Stegostoma tigrinum: one gene and its partner. The protein of the gene in region 1 binds, or shares a complex with, the protein of each later gene. Links are inferred from orthologs where the notes say so. Each region holds a gene or a part of one and is shown in the gene's direction. Other genes may lie near its edges.

Region 1 (10,022 bases):
GTTAGGGGAATGGGTCTGGGTGAGATGCTCTTCAGAAGACTGGTGTGGACCTGTTGGGCTGAATGGCCTGTTTCCACATTGTAGAGATCCTATCTCTATTTTATTTCTCTTTGTCTGACACCTTAAGGCATTATGAAAATGAGACCTTTAATCATAATCCTTTGGTGCAGAAGAGAAAGTAGAAACAATTTAAATGCAGTTTTAATAGAGCACACAATGAGAAGCTGCAATAGCAAGTTTGTTCAATGCTGGTGGATTAAAAGTAGTTTCATACATCTTGGCATTAACTTTGTCTCTTTGGATAGGAATAGGATATTAATGAATTGTTAAAATAGTTCACCAAAGAAAGCACATGTAGGAATTTTAACTCGATAAGGATAAACTAGGAATCAAAAATAAATACTTTAAAATCAAATGATGTTCCAGCTGATAAACATTAAAAAACCAGCTGTGTGGATTCCAAGTTATCTGAATGGATGAATATGTCATAAAAGACAGTGTTGAACCAAGAAAGCCTCAGCTTCAATTTTGATCTGTGCTGTTAGTCTGTTTTAAGTGGTGAAGGCATTAAAATCAGCCTCAGAAGGAGAGAAGAAAATTGGGCAACTTTGACATTTTTAAAGACAGTCTAAGCTGATTACCTTGATAACACCTACTTTCATACAAGTTCTAAGAATATTGCTAGTACCCCAGCATGAAATACAGAATCATAGCATGCTCGCTGCTTGCAGAATGCCACCCTTCAGACTTGCACTATCTTCAGGAAGAAACAACTGAAGAACAAGTCAGAGGGAAAACCGAAGCATAGAAAACATTCCGTGTGTTTCACATCATTTTGCATTGGTGAGAAATGACAATTTCCGACATACCAAGCAGGTCTTGATCTCAACTGTCCTGTTTTAAGCAGATCAGTACAGTATTGAAAGACAAAGCAACCCCAAGTTACTTACAACTAAATTAAGAATTTCATATGTAGAACCTCTAGTACAAATCAAAACTTAAGTTTAATAAATTGAAAACTTAGCACAATGTTTTAGACAATTCAGAATTATTCATTCTATGACATCCTACTCACCCTGGACACAATTTAATTCTCATTTTGCCTGTGTGCACATTGTAACAACAGATATGTGCTGCAATGGTATGGATTTGACAACCTCCTCCACTTTTATGGGAAGAGAAAGGCACATGGTTAAGAGGAAATTTCTGTTCAATGATGGCACTAATTGATGCATGGGCTGTTTTGTACACATTTATGTCACCAGTCTGAGGGTTCCATACTGGAATCATTATCATGCTTTCTGGAAGCACCTTTTATCATCAAGGCCCAGTTCTGGAGATGGTGATCCAACATTGGAGGAAGCTAGATGTTGTGCACAGTGTAAGCATTGTGCCAGTTCACTTGTTAGTGGGCACACATTTACAAGAATTGTTGCCAGTGGTCATAAAGGAGCTGGTCATTGAGGGATTGAAACCCTACCCTGTTCACGAATCTGACTAGCAGGGAACTCTGAGCACCATTTGTGCAGAGTTGTTGGGTCCTTTCACCTGAGCAAACCAAGCGATAACTGCACTTTGCACAGTTCAGGCAGCTATGCTGTTCAGGTCAATGATGAATTAGAGAAACTGGGTTGCCTTCCTGTAAAGGGCATCAATAAGATTTGTGTGAAATATCACACAAGTCCCCATTTGAATTTTGAAAGGAACCATGATCTTCAGGCCCACAGACAGAGCAGTTCCTTCCAAGCTGTGCAAATGCATATCTTCCTCAGGAGGTACCAGATGTAGATCACAACTACTCCAGAAATGTAACGATGTCATTTACTTATCTGGAGGTAGCTGCAATGCTTTCCATATACCCTTTCTCTATAGACTGTTTCTGTAGTCACTGGACTCCCTCTTACCAGGCTGCGTGTTTGTCGACAGCAGGAGCCCCTGAGCTTCATGTCTATGATTCTGTGTTTTTTCTTTCCTTTTCATCTCCTTCTTCATCTTTTTAGTCTTATAAATGCTAATATTGCTGCTGGGTTTCAACATGTAAAGTGGAATTATTGATATGTGATTAAAGGACAGTAATTAGATGTTTGCTTTGCATTTACCATCTTGTCATATTCAATGACTACTTTAGACCGTTATCAGGCTGCTCCTCCTTGGGCGATACCTTGTACATGGATAGGTGCAATGTCCATCACCCATGACTGATTCTCAGCTTTCCTTTTGGTACATCAGAGACATCTGTGCTTTTTATCTTAAAGGTACCTTGCATGCCGATGCCAATTAACGCAATGTAAATCTATTTGCCATCATAGCACCCTGTGATGCAGCCCCACACTTCTGCAGGATCAGACAACATAACTGTTTCATCACAATGCCATTAACATTCATATACATGAGGCTGCAATTGGTTCTGCATTAATCCCTGAAATTCTTGGAAACCCTCTTTTGAAATTTGAGTTTTGGAAAGATGGGGCTGTACATTTATCTTTGGATTGCATCCCCCACACTCTCCCCATTTTGAGTACAATTCTCCCCCCAACCCCATTACCATGAATGGCCTTGCCATTTCCTGTTTTGTTTTTACTTTGCGATCTTTCAATTTCCCTTTCTTACTATTTCCTTTGACATTCCTGTTCTTCTCCTTGATCCCACTCCCACAGAAATTATGATGCCTCGACTCAGATAAACTCTGCCTTATTCAGTTCTGCTCTTTCTTGCTCTCTCTCTCGCTGCCTCCATTTCAGAGGATCCTTCCACTGCCCATGATTTTAAAGGCACTTAAGTTGCTTTCTCTAGCTTCCCTTTACATCCAGCTCACTTTTCTGAGAACCTTTTTTATTGATGCCCCATTTAGGTTACACACGTGTTTAAGTTAACGTTCCATTTATGTTCATTCACCTTTTAAGTTTTATTATGCCTGCCTGTTCTAATCAGATTTGTTTTAATGAACAGTGTGACTACCTCGATTAGGTCGGCTGGTGGGACTGATCAGCCATCCTCTCTAACACTGTAATAATCTGACTACAATAAACTTGATGGCCAATGTATGTTCGTTCTTATGAGCTGTTGAACAAGGAGGGTCTTTAGATTTAGATTTTATCGTCATGTACATTCATCTACAGGAATACAAGAATACAGTGAGAAACATACAAAGTTGCCATCATCATCATCCGGCACCATCTTAGTATACAAAAGACAGGACACTTTGTCATGGGTCCTTGCTGACAGAAAAACAAAGCCACAATGTGCATCCCTCAATCTGCGAACATTCAGGTGCATAGTGCTGCAGCCGCAATGCTACTGTCAGGTATCTAAGTCCAGCCATGGCCTGGAGCCATGACACCACCGCTGGAACCATGTCACCAGTCTTTGGCATCACATTGGGTCCTTTGCCATCATCACCATGAGTCTGCTGAAGCTGCTGGGTTCTGAACTCGGCTCAAACTCAACGCTGAGCCCACTGCACAAAAGCAACTGGTGCCTTGTTCTGGCTGACGTAGCTACTGCTGCCATGTCCTGGGACTACTATTTCAGCAAAGGTATTTACCACCGCTGGTCCCTGGGAAGGAACAAAACCATTAACACTGGAGGAGCTTAAATGTAATAAACTTGATGGGCTATGAATGTGCCTTGTCATCACCAGCTGAACATTGGGACTCTTTAGTCCACGGAAGTGTTTGCATGATATTTTATTTCTGAAGCAGCCACGTAATGGATTACTGGTTTATTCACAGGGCTCGGAGGAAGCAGTCTACTCTGCCAAGCACTCCTCTTGTGTACATAGTCAGGTTTGTGAACACATGCTTCCTGTTTTTGGCTAAAAAGGTTGCATCCATGAATGTAACTACCATCTCCTGGGACATTAATGAGTATTCATAGACTGCTAAAAAATATAAAAAAGGTTCCTGAAAGCCAACCCAGTTGAAAGGTTCTGAGAAGCTAATACCATAAATTTAACCTGCCATTGGGAAAGAGAAACTTTGCCTCCCGCTCCATTATGTCTTCCTGCCTGACCTTCTAAAAGCTTGGGGGTGGCCCATGGAATATGGTTCTCGGTCCTCTGACAGCTACCCAGGAAGTAGCTCAGCCAAATATATAGTTTTTGCATTTGAAACTGAACAATTAGTGTCAGCAGAATATTTGACTGTGGGCAAAAGAGGAAATGTCCAAAGGAGTGCTTCATTCACACGTACTGCAGTGGACCCAACCAAAGGTGACTATATTCGTCATTCATAATGGAGAACCAAGGTCTATGTTGTTGTCTGTTGACCAGTGTGTGTGTATAATATATATTTATGCTACCATTACTGGGAAGACTGACCATAATTGACTTGTTATCTGCATAATTCCAACTAATGTCTTTTGTACGAATCTTTTAAATTGCACCACATTAAAATTAATTTTGTGACCTACTTATTTATGATCTCCCCATCCAGTGGACATAACCATTTCCAAGGTCTATTAATAATTCTGTTCTTGAAGTTAAAGGAAATGATAATAAAATTGCAACTAATTACCTTTACCAGCTAAGGAGGGATACAGTTAATGTTTATATCTGTTAGTTTTTTTGAAAATTAATTCATGGCATGTAAAGATCACTGGCAGAGCCCATATCTATTACCCATCACTAATTGACTTTGAGAAGGTAATAGCGTGCTTCTTTAATCTATGTTGTCTACAGTGCTGTTAAGAATGGGTGTTCCACGATTTTGACTAGTCAACAGAACTCAAATCAGGATATATTCCACACTTCATCGGGTGTCTTCAGTTCTAAGCTGAAAGGTCACTGGACTTGAAAAGTTAACTCTATTTCGCTCCCTACAGATACTGCCAGACCTGTGTTGTTTCTCCAGCATATTTTGTAATTAACCTGTTCAGGCATGTTACTACACACGTCTGGAGGAAGTGGGACTTGGACATGGATGTCCTGAGCCAGAATGAAGGACATTACCACTGGTACCTCAAAAGCCAGTTTTATCCCCGCAGGCACACTTTCCAGTGTCCGGCATCTCCAGGTCATTGGCAGAGGAGAGAGACTACAACAAGCCCCATCCCAGGCCCCAAGATGACTTTCCATATTAAGCAGAGGTTCACCTGCACATCCGCCAATGTGGTATACTGTATCCATTGTACCCGGTGTGGCTTCCTCTACATTGGGGAAACCAAGCGGAGGCTTGGGGACCGCTTTGCAGAACACCTCCGCTCGGTTCGCAATAAACAACTGCACCTCTCAGTCGCAAACCATTTTAGCTCCCCCTCCCATTCTTCAGATGACATGTCCATCATGGGCCTCCTGCAGTGCCACTAGGATGCCACCCGAAGGGTGCAGGAACAGCAATTCATATTCCGCTTGGGAACCCTGCAGCCCAATGGTGTCAATGTGCACTTCACCAGCTTCAAAATCTCCCTTTCCCCCACCGCATCCCACAACCAGCCCAGTTCGTCCCCTCCCCCCACGGCATCACACAACCAGCCCAGCTCATCCCCCCCACCCACTGCATCCCAAAACCAGCCCAGCCTGTCTCTGCCTCCCGAACCTGTTCTTCCTCTCACCCATCCCTTCCTCCCACCTCAAGCCGCACCTCCATTTCCTACCTACTAACCTCAACCCACCTCCTTGATCTGTCCGTCTTCCCTGGACTGACCTATACCCTCCATACCTACCCACCTATACTCTCCTCTCCACCTATCTTCTTTTCTCTCCATCTTCGGTCCGCCTCCCCCTCTCTCCGTATTTATTCCAGAACCCTCTCCCCATCCCCCTCTCTGATGAAGGGTCTAGGCCCGAAACGTCAGCTTTTGTGCTCCTGAGATACTGCTCGGCCTGCTGTGTTCATCCAGCTTCACATTTTATTATCTTGGATTCTCCAGCATCTGCAGTTCCCATCATCTCAAACTACAAGTCCCAGATGACTTTGCGGTCGGTGGGTGAGAGGGAGGCTATGGGATCCCGGCGTGCCTCGCGCGGTTGGGAGGGTGTAACCAAGGCGGTCTTGAGCGAGGAGTCATAAAGCGATGCAGAAAGATGTAAGATGGCAGAGCTGCAGATGTTACTCGAGGAGGAAATCCCTGCCGGCAAGAGGGCGCTGATAGAGAGTTACCAGAACCTGGGCCGTGTGGCCGATTACTGCGAGAACAACTATATCCAGGTACGAGCTGGCGGGGGCAGTGGTAACGGGAAAAGCGGACGAGCGGCACCGCTGGCGGTTACAACTCCCCTGCCGTGTCCCGCTCTCTCTCTCTCTCACACACACACCGTCCCAGTGGCAAGTAACTCTGCCCGGATACGGGCTGGGCCGTGAATTCGATCCCTCGCCCCCACTCCTGCAACCACCCCCCTGAGACCAGTACAGACAGACAGACACACACACCTCTTCTTTCTTCACTTCGATTTCCCCAGGCCGTGAACGGTTGGACACTTATCCGCCCCCGTCCCGGGGCCTCGATAATGTCAGGTTTTGCTCGGGGCTGAGAGGGGTGGTGGTCTCTCTCTAGCTCTCTTCTGTTTTTAAACTCACTTTGTGAAGGAGTCAGCCTGTTCCGTCAGTAGTTCCCTGGATTTACCAGCACACTTTTTAACGCCAGTCTCTGTGTGTCCCAGAGGGTGTGCCGCGCTGTCTGACTCATATTCCCCGGGTATGTGGGCCGGGGCTCTCCCTCTCCCAATAGTTTCCACCCCTCCCACGGGTCCGCCTGTGCTCTTTAGGCACCCGCTCTACAATTTGAATTGATTTTTATAAACAGCTTTTGTTCTTGAGGCAAGCAGTTCGTCCCCGCTTTGTTTTAATTCGGTGTGAAGCCAGGGGATCTTTCCATTGATCTGTTTGCGTGCGTGTGTTATAAATTTCGGTGTTTCTTTCATGTGATTTGTCTGTCTGAAAGCTAAGTATAGGTTTTTTGTAGTCCGACATGCTGAAATGATAGCTATATCAATTGAGCAACACTCCCTTTACTCTGGGTTGGGCAACCTCGGGGAAACTGTGCGGTGAAGTAGTCTTTCCGACACCAGTTTAGTGTGGAACTAGTCTTAAAGGCGTCAAAAGCCCCCACCCCTCGCCATGAAGTAGGTTTTCCTATCCTCGCTCTTCGTTTTTGTCTTAGTAAATTCCTTGCAAATGTGGGTGTTCGCAGCTTCATGTTCAGCCGCAGTGTTTTTTTTAAACTCCGAGATCACTTGTAACAGGATGAGATCCCAAACTCCACCCGAAAGTTAGTTTGATGCGCCAGATACGGAGGAAACCTATGTAACGTTTGTTTTTTTCCATGGACGGAAATATGATAGTCGGAGGCGGATAGAAGTTGCAACACGACTTGCAGTTGTCAGCTGTAGTGGTCCGGGCAACGACAGATAGGTTTACATATGTCAATAAACACTCTAGTATGAAGTATCCTGCTTTGCAGATGAACTTGTGATTCTCAAACCTTGTGCTCAATTCCAGTTTGTCTGAATTGCACTTGTTTTTGGGTAACTTGCTTATCATAAAATAAGGAAACTGAAGCTATTTGACCCAGGCTGTGTCAATTTAAGGTTTTATTTCTATACGAGCATCACGATGGTGCTGAGTATCTGTCCTTTTTTTGTAATACTCTTGATAGTTGCTTCAAATGTCTTAGTTTTCTCTGGCTGCATAAAGTGCTTTCTTATTTCCATTTCACGAAGTTGTGACCACTTTGAAGCTACTTTGTTTTGCAGTCATGATTTTAATTTGAATCTCTTTCTGTTGTACTGGATAACACGCACCTTAAATTGCTTCTACATTTTTGCTCATACTGTCGCACTTTTAGGGTTTCAGTGCAATTTTTTTTGCTCTGTCGTCTGTCATTTTTATATAGATAACTTCGTAGCCTTTCTCTGCGTGACCTCGGGACCATGTTTTTAGCACTTTTTAAAAATTGAAGTATTTTTGAGTTGTATTTCTAAGCAAGTGTAAAGTCAAAAGTTGGTACCGAGCTTTCAGAGTTTTATTTTTAGAGCAAGTGAACTTCCAGAGTTTGGGATCTTGATAATTGAAGATTTCAGTGTGAAGAATCCAAATGATTTGAGAATTGGAGTTGGAGATGCTTATGGGAGTATTTAAACATGAGGCTTTGAGAAGTGAAGCATTGATTTTTGGAGCTAATGAGTCTGGTGAATGGCATGGATATACTTGCATTTTATGCAGAGTAGAAGCAATGTAGACAAAGCTTTTTGACTTGTCATGTCTTGAGGAAAGATTCAGCCATTAGATAAGTGAATATAGAGCACATTGGTGATGTAGTGTCAATGGAAGTAGTTCAGAATCAATGTAGAGATTGAGAATTATCAGTTCCCCTCCGAGTACTTGGCACTTGTACTTCATCATGCACTTTCAATAGTTTTAAGTTGATTGTATCCTATAGAGGCATCTTAGATCTTCCCCAGCTCACCCACCGTCGCTTGTGTCTTCAGTACACCAGGATACACAGTTCTTCTTGTCACAGTATGAATTGTAAGTATGAGACCAAACACTGATCTTTGTGGTGCTCAACTAAGTTCCATCCTGCCACCCAATAATGACTTATTTATTTTTCTTTTCTGATTCTTGACCGTGCTGATCCTGTGAATTCTTATCTTGTGGAACAAATTGTTCTCTGGGATCTTATCGAGCGCATCCTCAAAATGAATGTGCTGTATCTGCACGTTTTTGTTAATTATCCTGATGGTTTCCACGTTTTAAAAAAACCCTTTGTCGAATCATGTTGACTTTATCTAATCAGTGGCTTACAGCTTTGCCTAGTTCATGCCCCAAATAGTTAGTTCATACATTTAAAAAAAACTGATCATTGTTTCTGTTTTTGCATTTTATTAAAACAGATTTCATTGACTGTTGCTTTGTCCTTAAACCATACAGTCATATTCCCTTTTAATACCTTTTGACTGAAATCTTGCATCTTTGGTACCTGTGTAAAATGTATATCTCATTTGGCTAAATGTTCCAATCTACAGAATAATCTTGGACATTCTTTAAATTTCCCTTCCTTCCAAAGATTGCAAGATATGTTCTAATTTATTTTTTAACTCGGTCAACTTTTAGTATTCTGACTGCATGAGCGGCTTATTGTGGCTGTGTCCCCTTATTTAGAATCATTGTAGGTGATCAGTCCACAGTTGAAGGTAGTCAGTAGGTTGCTCAAGCTGCTACTTGTCTTTTTCGAAAATCTACTTTTATAAAGTTGTATTGCTCAACAGTAATTTCAAGCTCACATGTAAACTGCAAAAACAATCAGTTTCTTTCAGTGCAGAATGTGGATCAAGCTGCTGTTTGTCATCTTTGTTCTCCTGTCAGCCATAGCATCAATTATTCTTGTGAATCAGATTTTGTATCTTTTAATGCAAGATAGAATATTCCTTACTGGCGTATCAGGGGATAGTTAGTCAGATGTCTGTTTATTTCCAAGTACTGGTACTTCCCACTTCCATCTCCCAGCAAATTTCGATCCTTTTGCTTATCTTATCAGAGTAGGTGTCTGGCAGTGTGTCTGCAATATTTTTGAAAGTTAACTGTAATTTTACTTAGCGGTAGTTTAATCCTGCAAGCAAGCATATTGTACACAGAATGTACACCACTGCCAAATATCTTCACTTTTAATATCAGCCCTCCTCGTATGGTCCGCTGGATATTTTAGTCTAATGTTTTGATTGGTTCAGCAGTATTCGCAAGTCTTGGTCAACCAAATTTGATAATGCATCTTGACGCTTCCCATTGCTACCCAATTCCATGTGCACTGTTACACTTCTCTAATTCTAACCGAATAGTTTTAAATTTATCTCCTCCATTAGTCTGTATTGTGTAGTAATTCAATCTATGAACACTTTTTTTTTGCTGAATTGTTTTTAACCAGAAACGTTTTGCACCTTTTTCTGCTATTGTCACAGCCAGCGTAACTTGTATAGCAATTTGTGCAAGCTTTATTTAATTTCTCGGTTGAAGCAGGATATATGGCAGTACTGTATTGGAGAGAGGAGTTAATTTGTGCAAGCCAGTTTGAAAAATGATATCACATGG
Region 2 (11,021 bases), on another chromosome or scaffold:
TACCACTTTTAAGGTGCTGTGTAAATACAAAGTACTATTGGTTCCAATTGTTCTGTGTGTTATTTCTGTCCCTTAATAAATATTAATTAGTACACTAATTAATTAACTTAATTAATAATATTAATTAAATAGTGTAGCCATCAGAATAGAACTTTCCAATGTCTTTGTCAAGACAAGAAGTTACAAGAATGGTTCATATTGTTTTCAAAACAGATATAAAGGGTTTGATTGCTTACCCTGGGAATACAATGCTTCTCTTAACATATGAGGTACTAGTTGGCAATGAACAGTAACTTCTAATGTGAAGCATGAATGGAAAACGTCAGACAGAAGGCTGAAATGTAACACAAATTACAGCGGTACTTTTTAATGATTTCAATGGTGTCACATATCCTGTCACACATCTAGAATTTTTTAAATATCTACTAAAGTTAGTTTTGAAATACAGTGAGTCAAGGCCTAGATTCTTGTTAATGAACATTAACAGGCCATAACCATATATAGGACGTCTTGTGGTCTTGCAGGCCTCACTCTCTCTCTCTGCATTCTTGCAGCCCCCATTCTCTCTCTGTCTGTGTTCTTGCAGCCCCCTCTCTCTCTGCATTCTTGCAGCCCCCTCTCTGCGTTCTTGCAGACCTCACTCTCTCGCTTTCTCTCTGCGTTCTTGCAGCCCCCACTCTCTCTGCATTCTTGCAGCCCCCTCTCTGCGTTCTTGCAGACCTCACTCTCTCGCTTTCTCTCTGCGTTCTTGCAGCCCCCACTCTCTCTGCATTCTTGCATCCCTCGGTCTCTCTCTCTGCGTTCTTGCAGCCCCCACTCTTTCTCTTTCTCTCTCTCTCTCTCACATCCCACTCTCTCTCATTGCATTCTTGCAGCCCCACTCTCTCTCTGTCTGTGTTCTTACAGCCTACTCTCTCTCTGTCGGCGTTCTTGCAGCCCCCTCTCTCTCTGCGTTCTTGCAGACCTCACTCTCTCGCTTTCTCTCTGCGTTCTTGCAGCCCCACTCTCTCTGCATTCTTGCAGCCCTCGGTCTCTCTCTCTGCGTTCTTGCAGCCCCCACTCTTTCTCTTTCTCACTCTCTCTCTCACACCTCACTCTCTCTCTTTGCATTCTTGCAGCCCCACTCTCTCTCTGTCTGCGTTCTTGCAGCCCCCTCTCTCTCTGCATTCTTGCAGACTTCACTCGCTCTGCGTTCTTGCAGACCTCACTCTCTCTCTTTCTCTCTGCGTTCTTGCAGCCCCCACTCTTTCTCTTTCTCTCGCACCCTCTGTGACTTGACAGTGCCACTTCACTCTTTCTCTCTCTCTCTCTCTCTCTGTGATCTGACAGTCATAGAGTCACAGAGCCATACAGCACGGAAACAGGCCCTTCGGCCCAAAACATCCATGCCAACCAGATTTCCTAAACTGAACTAGTCACATTTTCCAGCGATTTAGCTGATATCCCTCTAAACCCTTCCTGTCCGAATGTCTTTTTAAGTGTTGTAATTGTACTCTTCTCTACTACTACTTCTGGCAGCTTGTTCCATGTAGTTGGCACCCTCTGTGTGAAAAAGTTGCCACTAAGGTCCCTTTTAAGTCTTTTCCCTGACACCTCAAAGCTATGCCCTCTACTCCCCAACCGTGGGGAAAAGACCTTGGCTAATCACCTTAAGGATGTCCTTCATTATTATATAAACCTCTATGAGGTCACCTCTCAGCCTCCAATGCTCCGGGGAACAAAAATCCCAGCCTATGCAGCCTCTCCTTTACCTCAAACCTCCCAGTCTCGATAGCATTCCTGAAAATCTTTCTTGTGCCATTTCCAATTTAATAAAATCCTTCCCATAGCAGGGCAACTAGAATTGTATGAATTTCTCCACATGTGGCCTTACCAACGTCTGGTACAGTTGTAACATGATGTCCCAACTCCTATACTCAATGCTCTGACCAATGAAGGTAAGCGTACCAAACACTTTCTTCACCACCCTTTCTACCTGTGAGGTCACTTTCAAAGAACTATGTAGCTGTACCCTCGATCTTTCTGCCTTACAACATTCCCCAGGACTATACCATTAACTGTGTAAGTCCTGTCCTGGTTTGTCTAACCAAAATGCAATACCTCACATTCATCTGAATTAATATCCCTCTGACCTTCCTTGGCCCATTGGCCCAGCTGATCAAGATCTTGTTGCACTCTGAGGTAACCTTCTACACTGTTTTGGCGTTATCTGCAGAAGTACTAGCCATGCCTCCTATATTCTTATCCAAATCATTTCTGTAAATGATGAACGACAGTAAACATAGCACTGATCCCCATGGCACACTGCTAATCACAGGCCTCCAGTCTGAGCCACAAAGCTCTATCATCATTCTGTCTCCTATCCTCCCTCTCTGTATCTCTCTGTCTGTGACCTAACACTTTCCCCATGCTCTCTCTCTCTCTGTCTGTGATCTGGTAGGTCCCTTGTTCTTTCTCTGTGATCTAATAGCCTCCCACATGCTCTGCTTCTGTCATCTGACACTTCCCCTACTCTCTGTGTGAGCTGGTATATCCCTCATTCTCTTGTGATCTGACAATCCCCACACTCTCTCTGTATGATCTGGCAGTTATCCATGCTGCCCTGTTATCTGACAATCCCCACACCCACTATCTTCAATTTGGTTGATCCCGCCTCCCGAATCACTTTCTGTGATCTGACAGCCTCCCCACTATCTGTGATCTGGTAGATCCTTACCTCTCTCGGTGATACAACAAAGAAGAAAACAAAGAAAATTACAGCACAGGAACAGGCCTTCGGCCCTCCAAGCCAGCGTCGATCGAGATCCTCTGTCTAACCTGTCATCTATTTTCTAAGGGTCTGTGTCCATTTGCTCCCTGCTCATCCATGTACCTGTCCAGATATATCTTAAAAGATGCTAACGTGTCTGCGTCTACCACCTCCGCTGGCAACGCGTTCCAGGCACCCACCACCCTCTGTGTAAAGAACTATCCACGCATATCTTCCTTAAACTTTCCTGGCAGTTATATATATATCCTGGCAGCTATATGATCTGGCAGTTCCCATTCTCTCTCTGTGATCTGAAAGTCTCTCCGTTACCAGTGATCTGGTAGATAGCCCTACTCTCTGTGATCTGATGGTCCCTGCCCCCACAATCTGTGATCTAGTATATTCCGTCACTCTGTTATCTGACAGTCCACCCTTCCCCCACTATGTGTGATCTGGTAGATCCTGCTCTCTCTGTGACCTGACAATATCCCATCCCTCTGCAATCAGGCGGTCTCCTCCTCTATTTCTTTGATCTGACAGAATCCCCTCTCTCTGTGATCTGGTAGATTCCCACCCTCTGTAATCTGGCTGTTCTGGCACCCCCTGTCCTGCTGTGTGATCTGGTAGAATCCCCCCCCCCCCGCCCCCCCCCCCCCCGGTAATCTGACAGTGATTCCCCCCCTCTACAATATGACCGTGCTCCCCCCAACTCTGTATTTCTGGCAGTATTCTCCCACCCGCCGTATTTCTGGCAGTGTTCCCCCCCGCTGTAATCTGACAGTGTTCCCCTCTCTCTGTAATCAGACAGTGTCCCCCTCTCTGTAATCTGACGGTGTTTCCCCCTCTGTAATCTGACAGTATTCCCCCCCTCTGTAATCTGACAGTGTTCCCCTCTCTCTGTAATCAAACAGCGTCCCCCTCTCTGTAATCTGACGGTGTTCCCCCCCTGTAATCTGATGGTGTCCCCCAACCCTCTGTAATCTGACGGTGTTCCCACCCCGTATGGAATCTGATGGTGTCCCCCAACTATGTAGTCTGATAGTGCATCCCCTCCTGTAATCTAACGGTGTTCCCCCCCGCCCCACCGTGTAATCTGATGGTGTCCCCCGGCCTCTGTAATCTGACGGTGTTCCCCCCGTCTCTGTAATCTGACAGTGTTCCCCCCTCTCTGTAATCTGAAGGTGTTCCCCCCCCTCTATAATCTGACGGTGTCCCTCCTCCCTCTCTGTAATCTAACGGTGATCCCCCCGTCTGTAATCTGACAGTTCCCCCCCCCCCACTCACTGTAATCTGACGGTGTTTCCCCCCCACTCTCTGTAATCTGATGGTGTTCCCCCCCCCGTAATCTGACGGTGTTCCACCCCCCACTTTCTGTAATATGATGGTGTTCCCCCCGTAATCTGACAGTGTTCCCCTCCCACTGTCTGTAATCTGACAGTGTTCCCCCCCACTGTCTGTAATCTGACAGTGTCCCCCCCACTCTCTGTAATCTGACAGTGTTTCCCCCCACTCTCTGTAATCTGACAGTGTCCCCCCCTGTAATCTGAGTGTCTCCCCCCCTGTAATCTGAGTGTCTCCCCCCCGTAATCTGACAGTGTCTCCCCCCCGTAATCTGACAGTGTCCCCCCCACTCTCTGTAATCTGACAGTGTCTCCCCCTGACTCTCTGTAATCTGACAGTGTATCCCACCCAACACCCCCCACTCTCTGTAATCTGACAGTGTTTCCCCCCCCCCCACCGCCCACTCTCTGTAATCTGACAGTTCCCCCCTGACTCTCTGTAATCTGACAGTGTCCCCCCCCAACTCTCTGTAATCTGACAGTGTCCCCCCTCCACTCTCTGTAATATGACAGTGTCCGCCCCCCACTCTCTGTAATCTGACAGTGTCTCCCCCTCCCCACTCTCTGTAATCTGACAGTGTCCCCCTCCACTCTCTGTAATCTGACAGTGTTCCCCCCCCCACACTCTGTAATCTGACAGTGTCCCCCTCCACTCTCTGTAATCTGACAGTGTCCCCCCCAACTCTCTGTAATCTGACAGTGTCTCCCCCTCGGTAATCTGAGTGTCTCCCCCCCGTAATCTGACAGTGTCTCCCCCCCGTAATCTGACAGTGCCCCCCCACTCTATGTAATCTGACAGTGTCCCCCTCCCCCCTGTAATCTGACAGTGTTCCCCCCCATAATCTGACAGTGCCTCCCCCCCACTCTCTGTAATCTGACAGTGTTCCCCCCACACTCTGTAATCTGACAGTGCCTCCCCCCCACTCTCTGTAATCTGACAGTGTCCCCCCCCCACACTCTGTAATCTGACAGTGCCTCCCCCCCACTCTCTGTAATCTGACAGTGTTCCCCCCCCACACTCTGTAATCTGACAGTGCCTCCCCCCCACTCTCTGTTATCTGACAGTGTTCCCCCCCCACACTCTGTAATCTGACAGTGTCCCCCTCCACTCTCTGTAATCTGACAGTTTCTCCCCCCCCCACACTCTGTAATCTGACAGTGTCCCCTCCCCTCACTCTGTAATCTGACAGTTTCTCCCCCCCCCACTCTCTGTAATCTGACAGTGTTCCCCCCTCTGTAATCTGACAGTTTCTCCCCCCCCCACTCTCTGTAATCTGACAGTTTCTCCCCCCCACCCACTCTCTGTAATCTGACAGTTTCTCCCCCCCCCCACCACTCTCTGTAATCTGACAGTTTCTCCCCCCCCCCCCCCCTCTCTGTAATCTGACAGTGTTTCCTCCCCGATTTTTGCAGGTTTTGCTCAGACCTGTTGAGGTATGTGCAACATTTGGAAAAGACCATAACGCCCAATGAAGAGGGGTAAACCGTAATATATACAGGTCCCAGAAGAAATTCTCTAGTCAACCTCTTGTCCCGTCCTGACTTAGCAAAATTTGATTTTAATTTTTTACCAGGAACAATGAAGCATTAAAAGAGCTACCCCTGTTTTAAGTGTATATCTCATTGTTATTAAATATTTTTCTCCCTCCTCCATCCGTAATGGTTTCTCCCGGATCAAACGCGGATACACGCTCACACCACCAAACGTGTGCTGTCAGTATGATTGCCGGCTGCGTTGTCCAATCAGAATGCGGATGTACCGGAAGCGGATCTGGAATCCCCTGTGTGGGTGTGGCTATGGTGGAGAGTTGGGGGGAATCAGGGCGGATGGCGGTTGTCTTCTAAGATGCGGGTTCGCGTCGGCAATCAGTTCGAGTGAGTTTCTGTCTGTCACGTCTTCTCATCTGGGCCGTTTCGGGCTACGGCCCCGGAGGTTTCGAACTTGGTGTGGTGGGCCGCGGCTTCAGTTTGTGCCGAATAGTGAGCGTTCAACCCGGAGCCGGGGGCAGCCGTGTCACCCACCCCCCCCCCCCCACCGCCTCCCCTCACCCCCCCCAACCACCGCCTCCCCTCACCCATCCCCCTACCGCCTCCAGCCCTCCCCACCCCCCTACCGCCTCCAGCCCTCCCCCCCCCACCGCCTCCCCTCCCCACCCCCCCACCGCCTCCCCTCACCCATCCCTCCCGCCTCCCCTCACCCATCCCTCCCGCCTCCCCTCACCCATCCCCCCCCCTACCGCCTCCAGCCCTCTCCCCCCCTCACCCATCCCCCCCCCTCACCGCTTACACTTCCACCCCCCCTCCGCCTCCAGCCCTCTCCCCCCCTCCCCGCCTCCCCTCACCCACCCCCTCCCTCACCGCTTCCACCTCCACCCCACCCCTCACCGCTTCCACCCCCCCACCCCCGCCCCTCGCTGCCTCCCCCCACCCAACAGGGCACTGAATGATTGATTATTTAGATGAAAATAATGTGCTAGGAAATGATAGAAAAGCTGGAGGTTGGCGTGAGGTAATGATGCTAGTTTATTGAGCTGGTGCAGATACAATGGGCCCAATGGCCTCTTATACCACTACAACCAGTGCAAAAATTGAACCCTGTTGACATCAATCAGCATTGAGGACTCATCCTGGGGCCTGCAACTGAAAATAATTGAGGAAAAGAAGGCTTTGCAAAAAACAAAAACAGAGATAGGTTTGGCAGCTATGAGTTTATGCAGCATTGGTGGAGAGAAAGCGCAACATTCAGAGTCCTGTAGCTCCTTCAGAATCTGTTCTGAAGAGTGGACAGAAGACATGAAACATTAACTGTTTTCTCCCACAGATGCTGCCACATGAGTTTCTGCAGCAACTTCTGTTTGTTTCAGATCTCTAGCATCTGCAGTTCTTTGTACTATTTAAGAGTTTAGTAATATTTGCCTTGACATTATTGAAAGTTGTATTTGTTTGGTGTTGAAAATCAATGGCCATAAACTGGTTAGATTTTCTTGACATAAGAGATGGGAAAAATTGCCAAAATGTTTCAATTTCAGGCAAAGCTTTGTGCAATTGCCCACTTTGGTCATTTAAACTTTCATTTTGAGGAAGGGGGAAATACTTTGTTCCGGATTGTGGTGAATTTAACCTTTCTGTCTGCTGTTAAGGAAGGCACCTCATTTCTCATACTTTTTATTCTTCCTCAATTGGATTATTTGAAATAAAGTTGAACTTTGTAATTTGATGGAATTTCCTAAAGAAAATATATTTTGTTGCCCTGGTTTTTAGTGTAATGTTTTTTAAAGAAAAAGTACTGTGAAGCTTTCAAAATGTCTTTCTTTCCCATGGCTTGTCTTATCAAGAAAAAGACATTTGTTTGTCAAAATAGAATCTGGTATGTTGTTGCAAAGTTAGAAGTTGGCATGTCATAATGTTGAACGTTTGCACAGCCATTCCAATCATTGAGTCATACTTGGGTGTGTACGCAGCTATTCTTGTCTTCCCACAAGCCATTGCTTTTGTATGTAATGTATGTTGAGGGAAGACATTTGAATCTGATTAGTTTCAAGCTGCGTTTTGAAGTCTAAAAATGTAAGCTTTTTCTAGAGCCAGAAGTTGCAATTAACAGATGCAACACATCAGAATCTGATGTAATCAGAAATCTTCAAAATGTTGTGTAGATTTACTATAAAAAGACTGGAGCGGGGTGGGGGGAAAGAAATTGACTTGTAATCTAGTTAGTTGTCTTGTTAATTGACCAAACACCAGACCTGGACTGCATACTGGCCACAATGTTTATTTTTCTTCTGATCGTGGGACTTGTAAGTAATTAAATTACTTTAGGAGCTGGCAGTAAGTTGGAGGTTGCATATCTTCATGTTGAAGATGTTTGCTCCTAAAAACTTGGTGTTATTGCTTTGAATCTCAGGGCAAGGTGGGCTTCTACACCACAGCCAAATTTCGGGTGGTAAATTAAAAAGCAATCTTTGGCATTAACTCGCTGAAGCCTTTGGGGCCTTTACAAAGGATAGTAAGCTCTTGGAATTTGAAGTCTCTAAGATTTTTAAGAAATGTGTTGCTCTGAAGGCAACATGGAAATTTTATTCGCCACAGGCTATTTCTGATTAGTCTTTGGACAATCCAAATTTCTGTTTGGTATGTTCGTATTTAATGTCATTGACACTGATTCAGAGTTAAAGGATCCCTTGGTAATACATTTAACAGCCCTGGAGCATCATTGTCAGATTTTTCTCATGGGGGTTAAGGAAAGAGGAAAAAGCAAAATATAGTTACCCCCATCCACTCCAGTCTGTCATCTAAGAATTCTTCTGCCCGGACCTTTTAACTTGCTTCCTCATAGGAGCATGAGGATGAAATAAAGGAAAAAGACCTGCCTTTATATACCATATTTCAAGACTACCTGACAAGTGGAGTTCTTCTGAAGCCTTCAGAGATAGTAGGAACTGCAAATGCTGGAGAATCTGAGATAACAAGGTGTAGAGCTGGATGAACACAGGTCGAGCAGGAAGGCTGAAGTTTCGGGCCTAGACCCTTTTTCAGAAAATTTTCTGAAATTTTTTGTTATCTCTGCTTCTGAAGCCTAGTCATTTATAGCGTAGGAAACACAACAGCCAACTTGTGATTAAATAGTGACCTTTGTTACAGCAGTGCTCCCTTGGTGCAGCATTGGACTGAGTCTTTTGACTTTTCTCCTGAAGCCCTGGGGTGGGAACTGAATCTCATACCTTATGACAGTGAAGTGAGACTGCTGTAAACTGCCATGGCTGACGTTCCTGCAGAATATACACCATTATCAGGATTTAAGGAAGACTGTTGCTCTGCTGACACTAGTATGCCCATCAGAAAACGTTAGATGAGCACATGTAATACCTGTGCTAATTTCAGCTACCTACTGTGTCCAGGCAGTTTTACTTAACCATAATTCTGCGAAGTTAGCTGGAAAATGTTTTTGAATTATATAGTATTTAAATAAGGTAAACTGAAGAGTGTCATTAAACCAGGCAACATCAGATATTTTTAAATGTTCTTCAATGCATTCTATTTTACAGTAAACATTGACCTCAATAAATTCTTGAGGCACTGTTAAATATTTTAATTCTTCATTTAATGTGTAGGCTAGGTTGTGTGACACTGAATTTGCTGTCTGTATGCTGAAAGTAGCAAATTACATGACTTAAAGGCATTTTGACTGGAGTTATAAATATTATCTGGACCTAGAGACAATGGTTTGATGGGCATCCTTGTGCTATGATTTGCTGTAAATGGGCATGAACTTAAAGGGATAATAAAATGTGAGGCTGGATGAACACAGCAGGCCAAGCCGCATCTCAGGAGCACAAAAGCTGACGTTTCGGGCCTAGACCCTTCATCAGAGCTCTCTGATGAAGGGTCTAGGCCCGAAACGTCAGCTTTTGTGCTCCTGAGATGCGGCTTGGCCTGCTGTGTTCATCCAGCCTCACATTTTATTATCTTGGAATCTCCAGCATCTGCAGTTCCCATTATCTCATGAACTTAAAGGGATGTGTTTTTGCAAATACAAATGTTTCGACTGTAGCATTTAATAACCTTTGCACATCATAAACTTAGCGTAACAAGCATAAACGATTAATTTTGTAATTGTTGAGACAAGAGAATAATGAAGCTGACCAGACTCTCTGAAATATTTGGCTGGATATACTGAGCTGTGTTAGCTTTTGAGATTAGATTGGAGAGGTGGATAAAGAGAATAGGAACAGCGGGGGTAAATGTAATTAGATAATTTGTTTATATGAAGAAACATTAGCTTGTTTCTTGATTACAGCATGTACTTCTGTTTACATACAATGGAAGTTTTTTTGTTTTGTGTAGTTTCCTCAATGATTTTATGCTCAATCCTTTTAAGAAGAGGAGTACGACGAACCTTGTTGGTTACATTTTGTGTTGTTTTTAATTGTCGCAGGTAGTGCAGGAGTTATGATGTTTGACTCCTAAATTGTTATCTGTTCAATTAAGACCGCTTGATATTGAAATCTTAATTTCAGAATCTACTAAAGTCTATACATGGCATGCAACTCTAAACTGTTTCATAAATTAAGCAGTTGTATAATTAATCTGGTAAATAGGATTTGAAAAATTCAATCATCTTTGACCTCTGTGACAAAAATATGCCAGCTTGTACTGCATTTTTTGTAAATGCTAACTGAGTGAAAACTATGTAACTCCAAATGTACAAAATGTTGCTGTGAAAGCTAGCACAAAGTGAGATTGACAGCAGATGTTCAAAACATGTTTTTCCTTCCCTTCAGTATAATTTGAAGTTAGTTTGTCACATGCAGTAAGGCTAATTTTTATATATAATAATTGATATTCCAATCAGATGCTCACCAAAATGAATAACAAAAGTTATAACTGATCTTATTTAGATTAGATTCTTAGATCCCCTACAGTGTGGAAACAGGCCCTTCAGCCCAACAAGTCCACACCTACCCTTGAAGCATCCCACCCAGAACTACCCTGTATAATCCACACACCCCTGAACAGTACGGGCAATTTAGCAAGGCCAATCCACCTAACCTGCACATCTTTGGACTGTGGGAGGAAACTGGAGCACCCGGAGAAAACCCACGCAAACACGGGGAGAATGTGCAAACTCCACACAGACAGTCGCCCAAGGTGGGAATCGAACCCGGGTCCCTGGCGCTGTGAGGCTGCAGTGCTAACCACTGAGCCACTGCCGTATTCTTACTTGGCTTTTATCATTTCTTTCTATTTTGCTGGATGGTGTGGGTTCAGAGCTCTGAAAATCAATCATGGCTTCCCTGTGATCTGACTCCACTTTATTCTTGCTTTTGTAGTCAACAGAATAACCAGTTGCTTGTAATATGTTAGGGACCCCTCATAAAATTTAAGTTGGTGGGAATCAAAAAAATCTCTCCACTGGCTGAAGCCACATTTAACCT

The links. The genes of interacting proteins can lie anywhere in the genome.
Region 2: abi1a (region 1) and wasf2 share a complex: the UniProt entries of both Homo sapiens proteins name them as parts of the WAVE2 complex. The link is inferred for Stegostoma tigrinum from reciprocal best matches to the Homo sapiens genes ABI1 and WASF2.

Annotation. Positions count from the first base shown.
Region 1 is NC_081355.1:123,347,146-123,357,167, reverse strand, and holds the start of abi1a (abl interactor 1a), read left to right. Parts: upstream 1-5,950; 5' UTR 5,951-6,029; coding exon 6,030-6,146; intron 6,147-10,022. UniProt on the Homo sapiens protein: May act in negative regulation of cell growth and transformation by interacting with nonreceptor tyrosine kinases ABL1 and/or ABL2. May play a role in regulation of EGF-induced Erk pathway activation. Involved in cytoskeletal reorganization and EGFR signaling.
Region 2 is NC_081377.1:43,677,339-43,688,359, reverse strand, and holds the start of wasf2 (wiskott-Aldrich syndrome protein family member 2), read left to right. Parts: upstream 1-5,830; 5' UTR 5,831-5,964; intron 5,965-11,021. UniProt on the Homo sapiens protein: Downstream effector molecule involved in the transmission of signals from tyrosine kinase receptors and small GTPases to the actin cytoskeleton. Promotes formation of actin filaments. Part of the WAVE complex that regulates lamellipodia formation.